Astyanax mexicanus: one gene and its partner. The protein of the gene in region 1 binds, or shares a complex with, the protein of each later gene. Links are inferred from orthologs where the notes say so. Each region holds a gene or a part of one and is shown in the gene's direction. Other genes may lie near its edges.

The links.
Region 2: the proteins of atp7a (region 1) and atox1 are in contact, whole or in part, in an NMR structure (PDB 2K1R), measured with the Homo sapiens proteins. The link is inferred for Astyanax mexicanus from reciprocal best matches to the Homo sapiens genes ATP7A and ATOX1. Residues at the interface, in NP_000043.4 of Homo sapiens: Cys19, Asn20, Ser21, Cys22, Trp24, Thr25, Gln29, Asp67, Asp68, Met69, Gly70, Phe71, Asp72; in NP_004036.1 of Homo sapiens: Thr11, Cys12, Gly13, Gly14, Cys15, Ala18, Arg21, Val22, Lys25, Lys57, Thr58, Gly59, Lys60.

What each region holds. Positions count from the first base shown.
Region 1 is NC_064409.1:71,793,643-71,804,696, reverse strand, and holds the start of atp7a (copper-transporting ATPase 1), read left to right. Parts: upstream 1-5,725; 5' UTR 5,726-6,109; intron 6,110-11,054. UniProt on the Homo sapiens protein: ATP-driven copper (Cu(+)) ion pump that plays an important role in intracellular copper ion homeostasis.
Region 2 is NC_064417.1:39,243,684-39,255,122, reverse strand, and holds atox1 (copper transport protein ATOX1), read left to right. Parts: upstream 1-6,448; 5' UTR 6,449-6,590; coding exon 6,591-6,596; intron 6,597-6,796; coding exon 6,797-6,869; intron 6,870-8,886; coding exon 8,887-9,011; 3' UTR 9,012-9,046; intron 9,047-9,195; 3' UTR 9,196-9,513; downstream 9,514-11,439. Other genes in the region: slc36a1 (proton-coupled amino acid transporter 1), read right to left, coding at 304-392, 1,309-1,399, 1,489-1,600, 2,583-2,610. UniProt on the Homo sapiens protein: Binds and deliver cytosolic copper to the copper ATPase proteins. May be important in cellular antioxidant defense.

The sequences.
Region 1 (11,054 bases):
GACTCTCTCTCACACACACATTGCCTCTTTCTCACACATCGACTCTCTCTCTCACTGACTCTCACAGACTCTCTCTTGCACTGACACTCTCTTTCTTCACTGTTTCTCTCTCTGCTATGCATACTATGCTAATGACTGCACTGCTCTACATTGCTGCTTATAATAGATAGAGACACAATCTTGGCTAAACATCCAAATGTTCCCTCCAAATGTCTGTGGACACCGCTTATAATGAATGCCGCATTACTCAGCTACTTTAAAAGGCACCAATCGCTGACAGAGATGTGCAAATGCACACAAACATCCTCACCACGCACACAAACACACATGCATTTCTTTATTTAATTTATTTCCTATATTGTAGAATAATATTAAAGACATTTTTTCATGATCATCTACTGTTTTTATTGACCTGTCCCACTGCTCATCTTATTTCAATAAACAAAAAGTTATTGTCTATTTATTACCTACATTACAAAAATAAAGGCAATTTAAGTCCAAACTTTTGCCTGTACTGTAAAGAGAGTCTAAATTCATGCTGGAGAAGATAAACATGAACCTATTGGCACCAGATATGGGTATATATCTCCATCAACATGTTTATATACAGATAAATAAATGTAAGTAAAATATTCTATTAAAACATATTAAAGAAAATGTTGTAAATTTACATTTCATTTCCTTCCTTTTTTCCTAAACAAAAACCCTACACCAGCCGGTGTTTACTCTTGCTTTGCTGTCGCCATTGTGGCACGTACACCAATTCATCATGTATGTGTAAGCTGAGAGTGTTTTAAATATTATAATAAACTATTTTGCACATGCTTCATGCTTGTGGGGTAGTTAGTTTACAGACCCCCTGTACATGCCTCTGCCCCTCCTTTCTGCCCTCCCCCAGGGTAATTTATGGGCGGGTATAAAGCACCCACACTGAAAGTAGGTCAGTGTGTCAGATACACACGACAGGCTGCAGAATGCGTAAAGCTCCTCACCATCTCAGTGTAATCAGTGTCTGCTGCAGTCTGTCTGAAACCTACAGCACAGCTCAGGGCAATACACACTGTTCCACGCTGTTATACTGCATTTAAACTGTGTGCTACAACAGTGTCCAACTAACAACATTAAAAAAATGTTACCTTAAATTCAGAGCTACCCCAAATGCAACTGTACCTTAAACCAATTACTTACCTTAAATTCACTGTCACCTTAAATCTATCACGTCCCCTTAACAGGACAGGATTTTTGTCATTAGTCTGACTGGCATTGCACCACTAAATCTTGAGGATTTATATTCAAGCATTACATAAAAGCTTGTTATGTTTGATAAGGAACATTACTCAAAAAAAGCATAATTGTAATTGTAATAAAAAAAATATTTAAGTAAATCTGCTAATGTCAAACTATAATAAATAAAATCATAAAATGAGCTATTTTCTTATTGTCACGTAGACCCAGGCAGGAAGACGAGGAGGCGGACACAAGTGCAGGTAGGGTGAAAATAAATAATAATTTAATAAATAAATAACAAGATAACAAGGAACAAGTAACATGAAACAAAGATACACAAATAACCAATAACCAAAACAAATCAAAGAACCTAAACTAAACCAACTAGAGATAATAAATAAACAAACAGGGAATATATACAAGAATATATAAACTAGGAATCAACACAAGCAGGGTATAAACAGGGAGCTAGGGAACAAGAAATAAACAAGGAAATAAACTATAAACAAGAAACAAGGAACCAAGAGAGACACTGAGAAACGTTATGAAAACACAGAGAGATGAATGACAGGTGAAGGTGCAAAGACCGACAGAGACAAAGTGGCAGAGGAGGGCTATTTAAAGAAACAGGAAACGCACTATAATTGGAAACACCTGGGGAAGGGGCGGAGCTACAAATGAGACAAGTGGTGGAAAGGTACTGAGATGGGAGACACAGGGGAGCATAGGTCACGTGGGGAAGACACACAGAGACACGAGACGAGACCAGGATGTGACACTTATCTTCATTTTAAAATCTATATTTTTCTGAATACAAATCAAACAGTTCATGTCTTCCAAATCTTTAGTTTAATTATGTTATTCTAGTTATTATAGTCTATTTTCAAACCTGCAGAATTTGGGTTGATTCCTGTTACTGATCTGGAATTATTAAGTGGAGTAGAATGTGAACAGGCAGCTTCTACATGTGTTTTATAGGAGATTTCAAAGCCCTCAGATTTTCAGAATGTAAATAAATCATTTTACTGCAGAAAAGAGGGTTTTGTATCACCTACACCTGTAGCCAGTATACAGGACAATGCATTTTAAGGGGTTAAATCACTCCCACTTTAGATTGTGGTAAAGCTGTGTCAATACTGCTATTTATGTTTAAATGTATGTGTACTGTAAATAATAGTTAAATTGGTGTAGACAGATGACTGTAGTGTGTAGTAAAGCTGCTTAAATACTGCTGTTGGATCCCAAAACCCATATACGGTGGAATGAAAATACTTTTGTCTAACAGAGCTGAATACTCAAACATTTAGCTATAGTCTTGGGGCTCTTGTATACTCACAATGCTGTTAGAAGAAATGTGCTCATAAAAAAATATGATAATAATAATGAGAAGTAGTAGTAATATAAAATGTCAATTTCTACACTGCAAGAACACCATACAAGCTATAACAATAGAATACGAACAATATAGATCCATCTTAATGACTGGTATGTAAAGTGTAATACAAACAATACATTTAAAGCCATTCAGCAACACTGAATTCAAGTTTTATTAACTTAAAATCTAAAAAGTGCCCCAAAAAAAAAATGACATCAGTGATCAATATAGTTTGGTGTTGATTTAACCCCCTTATTTGCATATTTTAGTTTTTTTTTCTCTTCAAACATAGTATACCATTTCATAAAGGACTTGTTTATTAGCTAACTAATTAGTTACATTACATTACATTACATTACATTTTTATCAGATGCTCTTAATCCAAAAAAACTCAAAATAATGATGTACATTTAGCAATAGAGGTTGTAGAAGTTTAGTCAGGGCCTAAAGGAGGTCAAGTCAGGGCCTAAAGGAGGTCAAAGGGAAATATTGGAATAGAGGAGGAAAAAGCAAGTGGAGCAGGAAATGTGTTAGGAGAGAAAGTGCTTTTTGAAGAGCTCTGTCTTCAGGAGTTTATTAAAGATAGTGAGAGATTCTCCTGATCTGGTAGTAGAAGGTAGTTAGTTAGAGGTGTTAGGAGAGTAAGTGCTCTTTGAAGAGCTCTGTCTTCAGGAGTTTATTAAAGATAGTGAGAGATTCTCCTGATCTGGTGGTGGCAGGTAGCTTGTTCCACCATTGGGGAACTCTGTATGAGAACAGTCTGGATTTATTTGTGTGAATGTGTGGTAAGTGAATGGCATATATATCTCTAAGCAGTAAGGGTAAATAGACTAAAATGTCTGGTCTGTATGATTAAGCAAACAAAACAAGCACAACCAGGTTCAAGTCTAAACTGGTAGGAAAGGGAGAGTACATACCAAAAATAGCCTAATCGTCTTTTTTTCAGAAAAGGCCAGCAGGTGTATGTACGCTTGGCTGCCCTGGTGTTTGCTCCTATTAAGTTTTCAGAGCAGGAGTGCTCCTCCTCTGCCATGGAGGGATGCATGGAGAAGACAAGCTCAGCTCTTCAGTCTACAGCTGTCCTGGTACCCCTTTGGTATAGAGGCTTGATGTAGCTGGTAGATTAAAAAAATATAATAAACATAATAATAGATAAAAACTAGGCAGTGTAGTTCCTGTAAATGCTCAGCAGTATTGCTGTGATGAGGAGTTGCTAAGATGGTTGCTATGCAGTTGCTAAGAGGTTCCTATGGTACCCGTATCTGGGAATTGCTAAGGCGTTGCTTTAGTGGAGTTTTTGGTTGCCAAGTGAATGGATATGAGTGATATAGTAATATAACAAATATAGAGGAATTTTAATCTTCACTTTAAAGTGCATTTGGTACATTTTATAACATTTTCTTTGATGTTTTAATAAACTTAAATCAAACAAAGCATATTACAGAATCATCACAATTTATTTATATTTTTCCATCACAGCAATTATAAGAAATTTCCTTTTACACCAAGTCTACACATATTCAATGCCCATGCATGCATTATGCAAATATTATTATTAAACAATGCCTAATTAAAAATGTTAAATTGTCTAGGGGTATTTGTTTTTTGTTCTGGAGTACATTGCCCTTTTAAGTTTACAAATGATTTATATAAAAATCACATTTGCAGGAATATTAATTTAACTGCTTACCATTTTGCATCTGGTTTTCCAAAGCTTACTGTTCACAATACAGAGAATAGTGCTGCTTTTATTATATGTCATATATTTATTCAGCGCTAGAGGTCGTGCTTTCCTTACTACTGACTGCCTTCATTAATCCCACATTGGGAAAATGTGCAACGTCACAACAGTGCAGATGACAGAACAGAAGTGTTTGGAAAAATACAAACAAAATATACTAAAATATACAGTACCAGTCAAAAGTTTGGGCACACCTCTTCTCATTCAATGTGTTTTATTTTTTAAATTATTTTTTACATTGTAAAGGAGATTGTTGTGGACTTCAGGAAAACTCAGTGTGCACACAGCACACTCTTCTGTCCATCAACAGCACTGCAGTCAGATCACATATGTTGTACTTGTATATGACGGCACAAATGTCCTACTGAACAGCGAAGCCAAATATAATAGGTCGAGCTGATTAATCTGCTTGACCAGATTAGCTCTTGACCAAGAGGGCAGAGTATGTTTTAGTGAGTGTGATGGTTTAGCTGATCTACAAGATTCCTGAGATTTTTATACTCAGCAAATTCTAAACAACCAGGCTGAGATATTTACAATAAAGTAAAAAAACTTTCCTCTATTCAATTTATCATACATTCTTTATTCCAGCGCCCCCCGTTGGCTTTATCTCCCCTAAAACATACAAATACATATATTTTTAAATTGATTGACAAGACTAAAATATATACAGCTCTGGTAAAAAAAAAAAAAAAAAAGAGACATTATGTTTTCCTTGTTATGTTTTCCAAATTGAAAACCTCTGGAATATACTCAAGAGGAAGATGGATGATCACAAGCCATCAAACCAAGCTGAACTGCTTGAATTTTTGCACCAGGAGTGTGTGCATAAAGATATCCAAAAGCAGTGTGTAACACTGGTGGAGGAGAACATGCCAAGATGCATGAAAACTGATTAAAATCCAGGGTTATTCCACCAAATATTGATTTCTGAACTTTATGAATATGAACTTGTTTTCTTTGCATTATTTGAGGTCTGAAAGCTCTGCGTCTATTTTTTTATTTCAGCCATTTCCTATTTTTTGCAAATAAATGCTCTAAGTGAAAATATGTTTTATTTGGAATTTCGAAGAAATGGTGTCTGTAGTTCATAGAATAAAACAACAATGTTAATTTTACTCATATACCTAAACCTGGCAATAAAACTCTTGAATATAGTTGCTCACCACAGCAGTAAAAATTAAACTATTATATTGCACATAGTAGGAAATAGTTAAAAAACTATAAAACCATGTGAAATTTATCAATTTTATAGGGCTGGTGTGTGTAAAACAGAGAAAGTGGTGTTTGTGAATGCTACTCTTTGGTCACACAGAGGGAAAGCTCTGGTGGAGGTGGCAGGAGTGCAGGTTGTCACGTGCTGCTCGCCGCTGGTCAGTCAGTCAGTCAGTCAGTGGCAGCTCTGCGCAGTTTGTGGCAGCTCTGCGCAGTTGGTGGCGGGTGTTGAGTCTCCTGAGCGCGGTGTGTGTGGATGTGGGCAGGTCTGATTAATCTGTTGTGAGAGGAGACTCGGGCAGTGTGACAGCTCCACACGTACCGCCGGGCTCTGCTCTCTCACTGCGGGGGAATGGTTGACCCGGTGTCGGCGTGGTTTCAGCCTTCAGCCGGCGGCGAGGAGGAGCGCGGAGCTCCGCGGGTACTGAGCGCTGTTAGCCGTGGAGGCTAGAGTTAGCTAGCCTAGCTCTGTTAGCTAACTAACTCTCTCTATCAGAGGATTTACATCCCATACCAGCCCGAAGAGATCTCTACAGGGCTCTCACACTAAGGTAAATACAGCACAGAGTTTATAATCAGTGTAAAATGCGTGTTTTGTGTGTTAAAAGTTCTGTTATAGACTTTAATATAAGTTAACTCTCAATGTTAGCTTACATTAGCTTAGCCCAACTCCCAGCGTTTACTACTTTACGTTACGTTACTTAACTAGCTTAGCTAACGCTAGTTTCGGTTGCCATGGATCTGATTTTGGGCTAAAAATTAGATTATTGACTCGTTTATCTTTTGTTTATGGCTTTTTACCTTTTATAAACGATTTAAATGCCATTGTAATCTGTTTGTAACCATTATACTTAGCTAATTTAGCTGCTTTTGTGAGCTGTTGCACAACAGTTAAGCTGGAATAGTTTGTAAGTAGTAAAAAAAATAGACAAAGTATATGCAAATTGAGACATATGAGCTTATATTAAACAGAATAAATCTGTTTTCTTAATGAGATTTCTTAAAATAAGTCTCAAAACGAGTGAATTTATACTTAAATCAAGCAAAAGTCACTGATTTTTTGGTATAAATTTAGACACAAGAGGTAGAATAACTTGACTGGTCGCTTTTTGTGCTTATTTTAAGTTTAAATGACTTAAAATAAGGTGAACCTTCAAGGTAAGACTGATTAATTTATTAATCATAATTTCTAAAATATTACATTTACAATTTGAAGGAAAAATAAATAAAATAAATAGATTATCAGTGCTTTTCCTATTTTTCATTAAAGGGAATTCTGTATAATTCTTTATATGGTTCTTTATGTAGTCTTCATTAATAATGAAAATAAATAGTATAGTTCTGTACTAGTGGTTCTATACATAGTTTTATGTAGAACCCTGAACATTTTCCTTTAATTATCCGCTCAGTGTTATTTGTGTTATTCTGTTTATTCACTATTTGTGTTTTGCTGTGAAATTAGTTGCTGTAACAAATAATGCCAGGGGGATCTTTTTTTATAAAAAAAATATATATATATATTTTTAGTTTAATTTAGTATGACTATATTTCATACATTCAGTGAAAACAGAAAAATCTGTAATTTTTTGTTTATTTCGTAACAAATACCGTTTCTTTTTATTGTGTCAAACATTTTTGTGATATTATTGTGTACGATACAATATGGCACACCCCTACTTAAGGCATTAGGGAATAAATGTTCAGAACGTGAAAAATCTGGGGTTGGCAATGACCCAAAGTTACTGTGCCACACACAATAAAATTACATTTCTTCTTAAATACGTGAAAAATTAAATTTCCTTAGGATATGATGAAATATTTACCCATTGTGTAAATTATTGGCTACATTTAAAATCATTAATATACTTCTGATGATAGTGGTCATTTGTTTGAATAGTTAAGTATATTAAATATTGTTTAAGTCTAACATGAAATGAGCTGTTAAGCTTATATAGAGTAAAAAGTGTAACATATCTAGCTTTTTATTAAGCAAATATACTACTTTAAATATAACAGCTCATATAAATAAGTTGCAGTGACCCTTCTCTAAAACATCACAGTCATTGTGAACGATTCATTTTCTTGTGGATAAAACAGTTTCTTGGTCATTTCCTTCCTTTTTATAAACATTTAACATTCCTCTGTTCAGCACAATGGTCTTGTGATTCTCCCACAAGCTGTTCACCAGTGAGCCATAACATTAAAACCACCTTTCAAGTGGTGGAACATACAGATTAGGCAGCGAGTGAACATTTAATTCTTGAAGTCGATGTGCTGGAAGCAGGAAACATGGGCACGAGAATGAGCATCTGAACCACTTCGCAAGAGCCAGACTGTGAGGGCTAAACAACTGGATCAGAACATCTACACAACATCAGACAGGTCTTGTGGGTTTCTCTGTATACAGTGATCAGTACCTACCAAAAGTACTCCTAACAGCCAGTGGATAACCAATGGACCGGTAACCAGGTCATGGGAGCCTAAGGGTCATAGATATGACCCTTGGAAGTCCCATCTCACAACCCATCTCACAGGGCGTTAAAGTACCTGTTGCTAACTTTACTCCTGGTCTCAAAAACCACAGGGCAGCATAAGTCTTGTGGAGTCCATGACTCAGGGGGTCAGAGCTGCCTTGGCTGCACTGGTGGTTTTAATATTATGGCTAAACAGTGCTTTCATACCTATTAGAACTTATTTGTAGGAGGTAGGCATCACAAACACAATAATAAATAATACAGTCTGTTGGAGGACTGGATTAGAGATTTACAGAAGATTAATTTCCACATATAGTTATTAAACCTGTGGAAAAAGTGTGCAAGTGTATTACTCAGCTAATCTGTGGGCTTGGGTTTGGCTGTTAGTTTGTAAAGCTGCCCTTACTGTCCTCCCATGAGTTTCTGAAGCTGTATTGTGTTTCCTTATGTTTTCTTCTTCACTAACCTGATTGGTTGCATTCTGTTAAACATATTACATGTGCTTTGTTGCACACCTTTATTGTCAGTAGCTTTTTTTTGGATGGGGTTAGTTTTTCATGAGGAAGGGAAGTAATATGATTTTACTACAGGTTGTCTGTAAAATTTATGACTGATTCACATGGGATATAAAATCTCAGCATAAATGATTTAGATGGGAGTGGCTACTTGATTTACGCACTTCCATCATCCACAAAGCACAGTGATGATAACCAATATTATAGCCACTCACAGTTATACAAAACAAAATTTTGGTTAGAAAAATTAAAGTTACATGTTTATAACACTTTTGAGGGGATAGGCTATGCTGCACATCTGACAGCACCCTTTTAACATTCAGTATATACTTTACCTGCTCAAGGACAGGGGTGGGTGATATGACCCTAAAGTAATATCATAATATTTCAGGGTATAATATAACAGTATATATATATATATATATATATATATATATATATATATATATATATATATATATATATATATATAAAACAGTATTCTTGAGAATATGAAAAACATAAATTATTTTATTTTATTTTTAGTTTACTTTAGTATGACTATATTTTATACATTCAGTGAAGACAGAACATCTGTACTTTTTTGTTTATTTCGTAAACAGTAACTTCCAGACTCACAAATTTGCAAAAGAGTATATAGTGCAGCAAATTTAGTGCATTCCTGTAAACTCCAAACAAAAAATAAATACAGTAAACAGTAGGGGTGTCACGATCTCGATATTTTATCGAAATCGAATCGAAATGAGGTCACGATCTCGAGTATCGAAGTCAAAAAGAGGATCGACGATCCCTCCCGCGCGCGCTACGCAAATAGCGCAGCGCGCTACGCAAATGGCGCGGCACCAACACAGCGCATCCTATTCATTTAAATAGAGATAGCCACTGCATGAGCGCAGTCGGCGGGAGTGTGATCACTGTTTTTATCTGTCCAACGGGGGAGGGGGGGCGGGGGTTGGGCGCGCAGGTTTTGTATCTGTATCTAACGGAGGGGTGGGTGCGCGCAGGTGAGAGCGTGTGAACTCGCTGAAATGCGTGTGTCAGTGTGACTTGAGAACACTGACTATAGATCACAGTGAGGTGGATTAAAAATCTTAAACTTATAATTGACTACACCTGTTGCTTTCCATTGAATTAAAAAAACATCTTTCTCTCAGATAAAGTAAACACAAGCGTGTTTCTGACTAAAATAAAAGCTTTTCAGGAGAGATATAAGTTATGTGTAAATATTTATAAGACAATACCCACATCACTTATCTAACCAGCCTGTACTGATTTCTGCCCCCCAATAATGCTTTCAATAACCTCTTGTAACCCCTGGGAGCCAGGGGTTACACTCTAATAGCCTTTAATAGTCTTCAGTAGCCTTTAAAAGACTTACCTGGCGGCCGTGGTGTGTCCACTAAACTCCGTAGTTATAAACATCCTGAGGTTAGCAGCGCGCTAACTGACCTGTTTATAATGTAATCCGAGCAGTGCCTCCGTGTCGGCTGTTCTAACCTGCTGCTGTTAGCTGCTTGGGCTGAAAGATGAACTGTAGTGAGCTGTATTATCCGGTTAGTGGGGTTAAAACCTTTATTTGTTTACAGAAACAGTAAAAACGGACTGGCTGAGCTCTGTAGCCCGTGGCTGGGCTGTACTGAAGTAGTGACTGAGTGAAGAGAGCGGGGCTTGTGCTGCTGCTGCTAGTGGTTGGATGAAGAACTGCAGCTTCATGTAATGAGCAGTTTCACCAGCCATCCACACACAGCTCTGATAAACTGCTTGTTTTAATAGTGCACACTGTTGCTACCAAAAAAAGTCACTAGATGGCATTACCATATATATCTTAATAAATAATAATAATAATATTTATAATATTTATAATAATAATAATAATAATAAATATATTATTTAAATTTTATGAGGCATAAAATAATAACAAGAAAAAAAAACAAGAAAATCGAGAATCGAATCGAATCGTGACCCTCAAATCGAAAATGAAATCGAATCGAGGATTTAGAGAATCGTGACACCCCTAGTAAACAGCAAAACAAATACAGTTTCTTTTTATTGTGTCAAACATTTTTGTGATATTATTGTGTACAATACAATATGGCACACCCCTACTTAAGGCATTAGGGATTAAATGTTCAGCATGTGAAAAATCAGGGTTTGCCATGAACTTAAATGACCCAAAGTTACTGTGCCACACAGTAAAATTACATTTCTTCTTAAATACGTGAAAAATTACATTTCCTTAGGATATGATGAAATATTTACCCATTGTGAATTGTGGATTCACACTTAATTAATAGATAAAGGTTTTTCAGTGGCTTATATAAAAACTGTCAAATTGGCCAGAATATTTACTAATGTGGTAGCATGCAGTCTGTGAAAATTAATGACATGTTGAATTCAGACAGGAATGAAATCAATGAGAGACTTCAGTAATAAACACTTTACCCCACATCCACATATAAAGCTAATTCCAGCAATTAATGGCTTAAAATGGTGTATTTATCAGTGTT
Region 2 (11,439 bases), on another chromosome or scaffold:
GGCTTGTCTACAGTGGTTTTGGTTGCGCTGATACACAGCCCTCTCATATATCCTATAAAGGTTTTAACTTTGTAACAAAGCGATGTTGTGTATTATGTGCTACATGTAGGAGTAGATTTTATAAAGTTAAAATCCCTGAATGTCTGAGAGTAGTATCTAAGAAAAAGTAAACAGTGATGTCCTAGAGTAATAACGTGATGTACACGGATACAGGCGTGACTTACTTCCTCAAATGACTGAACTGAGTAAGCAAGCTCTGGACAAACAAATGAGGTTTAACAGCTGTTTAACCAAGACACTTACTTAGCACTTAGATGGTGGGAACATTTCACCAGAATCTGCATGCAATGCACAGCCACAATGCCCATCACGAAGAGACTCAGAGGACCCACCTGCAGACAGTTTCACAAAGTCAGTTGTTAATGAACTGAACATATTTATAATATACCTAATATACAAGTTTCAATGAAGTGAATTCAACAATCAGTATATATATGGTTACTGTCCTGCAAGAGCGTTCATAGTTTTTTTTTTTTTTTTTTTTTCATTTTTGCTGTTTTTAAATTTTTTTTTAGATTATTTGGATCTGGCAACAACAATAATGTTATTTTTTGTGACGACAGAGTTTTAAAACACTAAAGTAATGTAATAAAACAGCATCATTAGAGCTGGATCAAAAAGAAAATCTGTTTTTCTCTAGATTAAAAAGAAAACTCATATCCTATATATAAAAAGCCTTTCTTAATCCTTTATATACTGACATGCCATAATTCATGTGATACCAGTATGTAACTTGATCATTAAGTGTTACCACAGGAGATGGTATTAATTGTTAGTGGGGTTAAATACTGGTCAGTGTGCTCATGGCAAGGTGATAGTTTGGCAGGTGATAGGTGGCATAGTTTGAGCGAGGTCTGATAGTGGGTGAGGGGAGATGGATTGGGAATACTTTATAAAGGGCATAACCACCCAAAATGGAAAGTGCATCAGATGAAAAACAAACGACTGGCAGAAATCACATCCACATTCAATGCAGGTCTCAATTCATTTTCTAGATTCCATTCCAAAAGTCGTAGGACATGAGACTAGTTTCTGTCTCATGATATGTGGCATGCCAGCGTAATTTAGCATACCTTTTGGTTGCACATTATTGACTTTTGTTCTGACTGCCTGCCCTTTATTGTTTCCATAGTATCAGTCTTTTTTTTAAGTGAGTTTTATATGATACAGGCCATTAAAGCCAAGCACACAAAATGTGTATAATGTATTTTTTAATGTAATAACTTTAAACTGATAATAGAGACCTACCACAAGCCCTGCATTCTTCACAGCAAGAGGCAAGCCTAGCAGACCAGTGCCGATGTTTCCTTTCAGTAAATGAATTAAGGTCTGAAAAAACCTGTAAACACAAGAAGCAGAGCCTGAGACCAGCAGTCTAATCAGAACAACTTCAGTCCATTCACACTAAGTTACTGTGACTGGTCTTACGAGGATCCGGTTCTGCCTCCAATTCGCTCGTACTGTCTCTGCATGCGGGACGGGGAATGGACGGGCTCTTCGTCCTCTGTTGGACTCTCCTCTGTACAGGAGAATGCAGGCCCTGAAAAAAAGTTTAAAAGACATTTTTATTCATCATTTTTCTATGTATTAACTTTAATAACTTTAATAATTGACAAACTCTTAATTAGTATTAATATTTATATTGGTGCAAATGTAAAATAAAGAAAAAAGAAAAAGAAATCCCCAATGCTCTTTATAATGAAACCAATATGGGAGAAGGAAAAATCATTCTTAGTAAGTGGATTTAATGTATTTATGTAAGCGATTTTATTGGACCGTACGTAGTAAAATGTGCATAGAACGGAAAGGGACGTTAGTGTTTTGAAAGGGTTCAAAACAAAGCATACAATAGAAATACAGTCAGCTGAAAATATAGGACCATCATAAAAACCTTAGATTTTTAAGCATATTTATTCACATGAATATTTGAGCTTTATTAAAACAGTATTGAGTATTAGTTTTTTTAGTTTTAAGCATAATTAAAAAAAAAAAACAATGCTCTCAAAGCTCCATTAAATATCCACTATGAATTATCCATTGTCTCAGAGAGTACTCAAGGACATTTTGAAATATTCCATACATACACAGCTAAGACATTTTCCCAGTCCATGTCTGAGACTGGTGGACAGATTTACGAAAAAACTGAGGTATTGAGGTAATTGTCAGCTTTTTCCAACATTAAAGGTTTTCTTACGTTTAAAAGTTTTCTTTGATTTGCTGTATAAGCTTCATCTTAGAATACTGTTCAAATGCAGCCTACGTGTCTTTTTATTACATCTCTTCATAAAGACAAACATTTGCATGGGGTGTTCCTTTTCTACATGACCATATTTTTATTGCTTGGCAAAAAAGTACCCTAAGAATATAGTCTACTGATACTTACAAGGTATAACTACAAACATATGGAATAAAAATCTTCCTCACTGCAGTACTAAAAAGAAGCACTGATACAGAGTCTAACTTAATAAAGCAAAACAGGCTGCACCACAAATGTTCTTCTAATGCATATTAAATTTGGTTACCATCCTGATAGTTGATGTCTGAATTCATGGCTGTTCCGCTCAGCTGGAAGTTTCACTGGTCCCTGCTTTTATTGTGGAGACAATTCATCCAGCCACTGTAAACCATCAAAGGCAAGCAAAACATTATTATCATCATTATTACGCTGCTGGTTCAAAGCAAACTCATTTTATTGACCTATATTTATTGAGTTTCAATATTTGCTCAAATTATCACAAAAACAATAGTTCCTGTGTGTACTAGTATATATGAAACAGTATTAGTTGTGTAGTAGTGTGCCATATTATACACATTTGTACACAAGAATATCACAAAAATGTCTGACACTATATTGTGATAATAGCAATATTCTTGAAAGCAGTACATATTATTATACAAAAGCAATATTATTTGTTTTGCTATTTACTGTATTTACTTTTAACTATGTTTTATTGCAGTTTATATACATGTACTAAACATGCTGCATTTTATGTTTCGTTTTTAGATTATTTGTTGTTCAATTGCATTATTTTTGTTACATTTTTCATTTAATATTCAAAATCTGGGTCTTGGAAAGTTACTGTTTACAAAATAGACAAATGTTTATAAATTATTTTGTTTCAAGTGAATGTATTAAACTGTTACATTTGTTTTGTTTGGTTGTGCCATATCGCCCACTCCTAGTACTAGTCCATAAAACACAGTGCTTGTATATATGAAACAGAGTGCTAGTATATGAATCACAGTGCTAGTAGGTCACATTATGCTACAAATTCCAAATGACTCTGTTAGTTATGTAAGGTTAAATTTAGCTGAGTAATTTCTTTCACACTTCTCTGAAGTCAAATCCTCTACATCAGCACTCTGCACACGGAGAAGCTATTAACTGCTGACCACTGCAAATGCCAAACATGTGATTTCACTGTTTTTACTTTGTTGTAAAGGAGTTTAAACTAAAATGAGCAATCTTTCTTTTTATAAATCTTCTGTTTTGTTGATAAGGACATAGCATGAAAAGCTAGAATAGGCGCTCAGTATCTACATTCATTGCAATGATTACAGCCACTGATTAATTCAGTCAGCTGGTGTTGTTTAGTATATAGAGTATAAAATATCAAAAAGTTCTGTTGTCCTTTTAAAATACAGCCTGTCACGATAATTACATTATCGACTTATCAAACAATAAATGGATATAACCTTAATAATTGTAATAATTGTGATATCATTCATTGTGTTTATGAGCAAACCTATTTTTGTTGGTGGAAATGCTGCGAACAGTTCAAGCTCAATCCACATTGGTGGAAGCGGTATAAGAGTGTACTGCTGCAGACAAAAAAAGTACAGTCTTCCAAACTACTATTAAGTAAATGTTTATTGTCTTTAAAATTAAATAATTTGTTTGATATGATATCATGTTGTCATTATTTTAGTGGCATTTACTGGGCTTAAATGATAAATTCTGTATGAAACAGACTTGGGGTGTGGTAAAACATGATAATAAATACAAACATTTTCTTAATATTGCACCTCCGTCCAACCCCAGCATTCCAAAATACAGCGCTTATAGCCAATGCTCCCAATACACTTACAATGAATCATGTTTCACTACACCTCAAGTCCATTTTACACCAAATTTCTCCTTTAAAATGACAATAATATTGTTCATCGCAATCATTTCTGCGACATCATATCATTCGCAAAACATTGTTGTCGTGACGTGCATTGCTATAGATTTTATGCATTGAGGTTGAAAGGCATGTGACATTGTGTAATAACAACTATTTTCATAGTTTCAGTTTAGCATATGAACAAGACTGTCTGAACTGCAGTATTCACTGAAATGAGTATTAACTACAAAAAGTAAACTATTAACAGTATTCCCTCATAGCCTTAAAGGGCTGGTTTTATTGAAAAGCATATTTAAACAAAGTCTCCTTGAATAGTGCTGATCAACAACTACTACAACTAGTTACAGCTCTGGAAAAAATTAAGAGACCACTTCAGTTTCTGAATCTGTTTTTCTTATTTAGCTATTTATAGGTATATGTAAAATTAACATTGTTGTTTTATTCTATAAACACCGGACAACATTTCTCCCAAACTCCAAATAAAAATATTGTCATTTAAAGCATTTATTTGCAGAAAATGAGAAATGGCTGAAATAACAAAAAAAAAGATGCAGAGCTTTCCAAGCAGTTCAGCTTGGTTTGATAGCTTGTGATCCTACTGATTATATTCCAGAGGTTTTCAATTTGGTAAAATCAAAGAAACTCATCATCTAAACGCATGTCTTATTTTTTCCCAGAGCTGAATATAAAGTGTAGTTCTTTAACTAGCATTTATTTGGGTTACACTGGACCTAATTTATTGGCTCTAATATTGCTTTGTCCAATGGAAAACTTACCTCAGACAACAATCATATCTTGACCATCTGGGAATGAGTTAAACTGTTCTAAACTAATTTAAGTTTATTTACTAAACTATTCACTTAAAACACAAGCACAAAAACACAAGCACAATGTACAAGGACATGTTTACTAGCCTGTAATTGGCTAATAATCTTATAGCTGGTCACTTAAGTAGCTGCATGTAACCGTAAGTCGTTAAATTTCCCATATATATATCTAATATTTCAGTGTATTTAATGTTATAAAGCAGCCCAGCTGTCTGTCACTCATTCACTCCCTGCCGCTGCAGCTGAGTCGTGGCTCCTGTAGTAAAAGGGCTTATTACTCAGTGAACTGACAGTTAGGCTGGTTAGCTACTCACCGGGAGCTCCAGAGAGCCGCTGCGGCCGCGCAGAAGCCTTATTTCACTAGCAAAGACGAATGAACAGCCACATTTTCCTTTAACAACTTAAACAGATAACAGTATTTAAAGCACGGTCCGGTTTTAAATCTCCAGCGCGGTGTGAACCCCGCCGCTGACCCGCTGTCTCACTGCTGCTGCGAGGCTTGTTGTTTCTTCTGGTGTTCAGAGCGCGCCGGTCACATGATCCTCTGATCAGCTGACGCAGCTTGAGGGAGCTTCTGTGAAAAGCCTGACCAAACTGGCACGTTTAGACTTTAATCTAATAGGATTTTGATATAACAGTAGTTCAGGAAATTAATACATCATTAGTAAAAATGAAAAATGCAATACAACAGAAAATTCCAGCATGTACAAACTAAAGTTTGAAGCTTATTTGTAATACAATGAAATTTTCTGATTCAGTTTTAATTCGTACAATTCGTATTGTATATGTAAAAAATCGAATTATTAAGATTTGATTTGGTTTGTTGCAAATGAAAAATGCATTTAAATTAGATTGCAATTCAATTCTTACATGTAGTAAAAGAACGTTTTAGTCCTCACCATAAAACACAGAAAAGACACCACACACAGAAAAGAAGAAATGTGTGAATATATTTCCTTTTTAATTGCATTTTAAATGTATTTTGTTGTTGTTGTTCATTTATTTATTTTAATGTCACTTGCAAGTTTACAAATTTATATTTTACATATATTTTTGTTCCATATGTACATACACTATTTACACTACACTAAAGCTCTATTGGCCTGTGTGTATGTATATATATAGAGCATGCCGTGAACCAGCCCTAACTGATAAACAAATCACATGTAAGATTAAATAAGAAAACGATTTAACGATTCAATTCAGTTAAAAAAAATAAAGACATATAAACATTAGTTTAGTTATCCTCGTTGTTTGATAGTATTTTTAAATTGCTTTTAGTACTTAATAATAGACAAATACAAAACTAATTTTAAGAGAGACCTATAAAGATATAGAGAAAATTTATTTAAAGAAAACCTCAGAACTTTTCCCATTATGCTCCGATTCCGCAGTGTTGTAATATGGTAATACACGCTTCAGAAAGTGGGCGGTAATTTAGTGATCATCCCTAAGTCACACGTCTTCGCTCAGCACCGAGCAGCAGAGTAGCAGAGTTCAGATAGCTCTTGGTGTTCATTTAACAGGAGGTTTCGTTTACTTAATTCTTTTGACGCTCTCAAGATCTTATCGGATCATGGCAGTAAGTGTCTTTTATCTTTGATTCCCGACTTTAGCCGATAGTTCAGGGCTTTTGCTGTCTAAAGGCCAAGGGCTCATTTTCTGGTCGTGTTTAGCTAAGTTGCTAATTTAGCCTGTTGGATTTAGTAAGTTAGGGATAGCTTGGCTGGTGCAGGGACTCGGAATTTAAACAGTCTGAGATAACGCTGTTTTTGTCCACAGACCCACGAATTCTTTGTTGATATGACCTGTGAGGGATGTTCTGGAGCAGTCACCCGGGTTCTTAAAAAAATAGGTAGGTCTACAGTGTGTATGTTGATGTTTGTATGTGCTGATGTTTGTGTGTAGTTTAGGAGTTAATTCAACTTTTCTCAGCTAGCTGAACTAACCTAGAGTAATCTAACTATTAGCTAACTAGCTATCTGGGTTAGCTGGCAAGTTACCCTAAGAGCCTAAACCCACTTTTGAATATTGATTCTAATTTCTAAATCAAATCTGATAAATTCAGTGGGCAGCTCATTTGGGTTTTTTTTGTATTGTGGGCACATATTATATGAAATATAAATATTATGGCTAAAATCCTGATGCAACCCAAATGACACCACAACATTTTAATAACCTGTATTTTAAAGTGTGTGAAATGATGTAAAATGGACATAAAATGTAATAAAACATGATCATGAGGATGAACCTTTAGCCCTATCCGGGCGGGAATAATTTCTTAGGGGGACTGCAATTGAAAAAACAGGAGGACCAGTGATTTTTTAGGCTTTCTCGGTCACATGACATTGCATTCAGTAACTCCTCCATTTCCCCTTGCTGTTGTGTTCATGTGTATTTCCTTGGATAAGTGCGTCCCCAAAGTGTAATTACGGTGCATGGCAGTGGACAAATAGCTATTTTATATATTTTTTTTAAATGCAAGGTGACAAAATGCAGAGATGTGCATTATGGATGAGACTTAAATTACCGGACGAGTTCAGTGAAAAACAATAGGTTATTCAGGCTGCAATTTTCTCATAGGACATCTGAGAAAAACACGTACATGGTCATTCCGGACGTAAATAAAATCACAGAGGACCCCCCATAAAAGAGAAAATCACCCCATGACCAACTGAGAAACTTATTATTGACAGAATTCCAAGGGCCCTGACATATAAAATGAGGCGCTGAGAATCAATAAGTCGACTGACGTGCATGAACGAATAGGTAGGATAGGGGAACAGGTTAGGCAAAATGTATTAGTGGAAATGCATAACTTCAAGTTGTTGCTGAAAGTATCTGGTGATTGTCTACATCAGACTGAAGAGCACCATAAAACAAAGGGCATAATCTTTACTGAACTACTCAGAACTACTAATCTTTTGAACTACTCAGTCACTCGTCAGTTGACTTAGCGTGACTTAATTTTAAGCCTGAAAAATTACCTGAAGGTGCACTATCAAAGTTTTCAGTGCCTTGTTTTTAATGTCAGGGCCTTTAGAATCTTACGAATGCAGTGTGGAGCTTCTTTGAGCTTGGTAATGGTGAAAAAAAAAAAAGATTTCTGGCCAGGGGAAATGCAATGCCCCTATCACTAGCATTGGAGGCCTGTTGGAAGCATCAGCTAAAAAACACTGTATTTGGTAATGCTGGGGGTAAATAGAGGTGGGTTAGTCGACAAAAGTTTGTACTCGATATTATGTTTTACTACACCCTAAATCAAGGAACTTTTTTACATATCATTAAGGGTCTGTGACATATATTACCACAGGCTCTTTTGAAGCAAAGACCCAAATTAAAACTCTTGTAAACTCTTTAAAAGCATGTAATGATATTTCAGAGCAGTGATATAGTTGACCTGTTTATTGTTTTGTTTTTGCTTTTGTTTTTTTTTGTTTTTTTTTCCATTGCTTTTTTATCATGTGTACACACTTCTTTGGTTTCATATTGTACTGCGTAGTCAGTTTCGTAACGGACTGTTTTAGGTCAAATGAGTGTGCACAGTGTGCATCACTGCTGTCTGAACTCTTTTTCTGATTGCCAAATAAACAAATTTACAGGAAAAGCAAAAATCTTCCTAATTTTCAGGAGAAGTCAATGTAAATAATTTATTTCATTTATTTTACTGATTTATTTACCCTAAATGTGAATAATAAAATGCACATTTCAATTGTGTAAGGAAAATTAAAGAATAAGAAACTGGATATACAAGGTTTTTATGAGACATTTTGACATATAATGAAGTGCCATGGTAGGGTGACAGCTGAAAGCTTACAGTTTACACAATTTTGAATGTTTAAAATGTTTACAGCCTATTCTTAATTCAACAGATGTCAAGTTTGACATTGACCTTCCTAACAAGAAGGTCTTCATCGAGTCAGACAAAGACAGTGATGTTCTTCTAGAGACGCTGAAGAAGACTGGAAAAACTGTCACTTACATCGGCACAAAATAGAGGATGCTCAGCATTTAACAGCTTTTCTACACCATGTAAGCCTGCTGCTTCTCTTTCCTAATTAATAACCACTGGTTGTTTATTTACTGACATTATGAGTATTATTAAATTGTATTAGTTTATATTTATATGCATTTTGGGTTTGGGTTTCAGTCTCCTTCATTTGTGATTCTCCATGTGACAGGTTGTAATTCCTGACAAGATTATGGATGGCTGTGTGATCACGCTCTTCAAGAATGAGGTGTGTGACTGTGGGGACCAGTGGAACAAGCTTCTAAAACCTGTCCTGATGTGCACCATGATAATCAATTCAAATGCTAATTAATGAAATATTAGTATCTAATGCAACATAGTTTTAGTACAATGGCTCCTTTTGTGGCTGCAATATAACAACTAAGTATAGACATAGTCTGCTACTGTATTGTCTGATCATGAAAAAAAGCCTGTTTTCTTGCCTGTTTGGAATTTGAAATTAATAAAATGAATACATTTAAGTATTAAACACTGTTTTAATGGAAAATTAAATTAAAGTTTATGTAACATGTTTTGTGATTAGCATATAAGCTTCAGGATCACAGCAAACCGGCTAAATTTTTTTACTTTTTTTTTAAATAGACATTTGGTTATTTTTAACCTGAAACACAACAAATAGTGCATTTGATACAAAATAGATATAAAACCATATAGAATTTCATTTACAACCTTAAATCAAAAAAGTAGAGACAGAATAGAAAATGCAAGTAAAAATGCATTATGGCATACATTTAATGTAACTAATTTAGTAATTATTTCACTTTTTTTTTTTTTTTAATGTACAACTATTCCTGCATTGCGGCCCTGCAACAAAGGTAGAAACAAATTTGAAGAGTCAAGCATTTACCACTAGTGTTGTCATTTGTTGTCACCACGCCAGCATGTGTGTTTGCATTGTCTTGTTGAAAAATCCCCATACTATGACCCTGGATTTTGGACTTGTTGCTGATAACAGTCTGGATGGTCTTTTATATCTCTGCTGTGGAGCAAAGGGCATCCTGTTATACCTTATATATTGATTAGTCTGACCACAATTCACATTTCCCCTGGGTGATGGTCCATTCCACATGCCCCCAAGCCCAGAGAATTCAACACTTCTAGACAATGTTTATGGTTGTATTTGTGAATGAAACTTTATATTGTAATGTTTGACAAATGTCTACAAAAGTAATCAATTAAACATGTGGGTCTATTAGCTATTGCTGAATGACAGTTCTTGATATAGTGCCGCCTGAGAGATTGGAGATCATAAGAGCCTTTGGCATATATCCACTGCTAATTACCAGTTCCTTAAATGGTTTAATAATAGTACAAAATATGCAAATTCCTTCCATTTGTTTTTGACTGTTTTGTTTCAATTTGTTATGACCAGGAGATCCTCTTCCAACTTTTGCTCTTCAGACTTAAGGGGATACATCTATTTGAAATTAAATAATTTTTTATTGATTTATTTTTTTTTACCCCATTATTAACCCTAAATGGCCCATGTTCCAAAGTCTCAGGTAAAAATGCAGGAATGCAATATTAACAAATAATCTTTAATATCTTTACATATGGGGTTGCATATATATATATATATAAACACACTTCAGTTTCTGTTTCTTCAGTTTCTGAATCAGTTTCTCTGATTTTGCTTTTTATAGGTATATGTTTGAGTGAAATAAACTGCTGTTGAATTTTATAAAGTACGAAAAACATTTCTCCCAAATTCCAAATAAAAACATTGTCAGTTAGAGCATTTATTTGCAGAAAATGAGAAATAACAAAAAGCTGCAGAGCTTTCAGACCTCAAATAATACACAGAAAACAAGTTTATATTCAAAGTTTTAAAAGTTCAGAAATCAATATTTGGTGAAATAACCCTGGTTAATCACAGTTTCATGCATCTTGGTATGTTCTCCTCAACCAATCTAACACACTGCTTTTGAATAAATATATGCCACTGCTGGTACAAAATTTCAAGCGGTTCAGCTTGGTTTGATGGCTTGCAATCATCTATTTTCCTCTTGATTATATTCCAGAGGTTTTCAATTTGGTAAAATCATGGAAACACTACCGTTCAAAAGTTTGGGGTCACATTGAAACGTCCTTATTTTTGAAGGAAAAGCACTGTACTTTTCAATGAAGATAACTTTAAACTAGTCCTAACAAATACACTCCTAAACAAATACACTCTGTACATTGCTAATGTGGTAAATGACTATTCTAGCTGCAAATGTCTGGTTTTGGTGCAATATCTACATAGGTGTATAGAGGCCCATTTCCAGCAACTATCACTCCAGTGTTCTAATGGTACAATGTGTTTGCTCATTGGCTCAGAAGGCTAATTGATGATTAGAAAACCCTTGTGCAATCATGTTCACACACCTGAAAACAGTCTAGCTCATTACAGAAG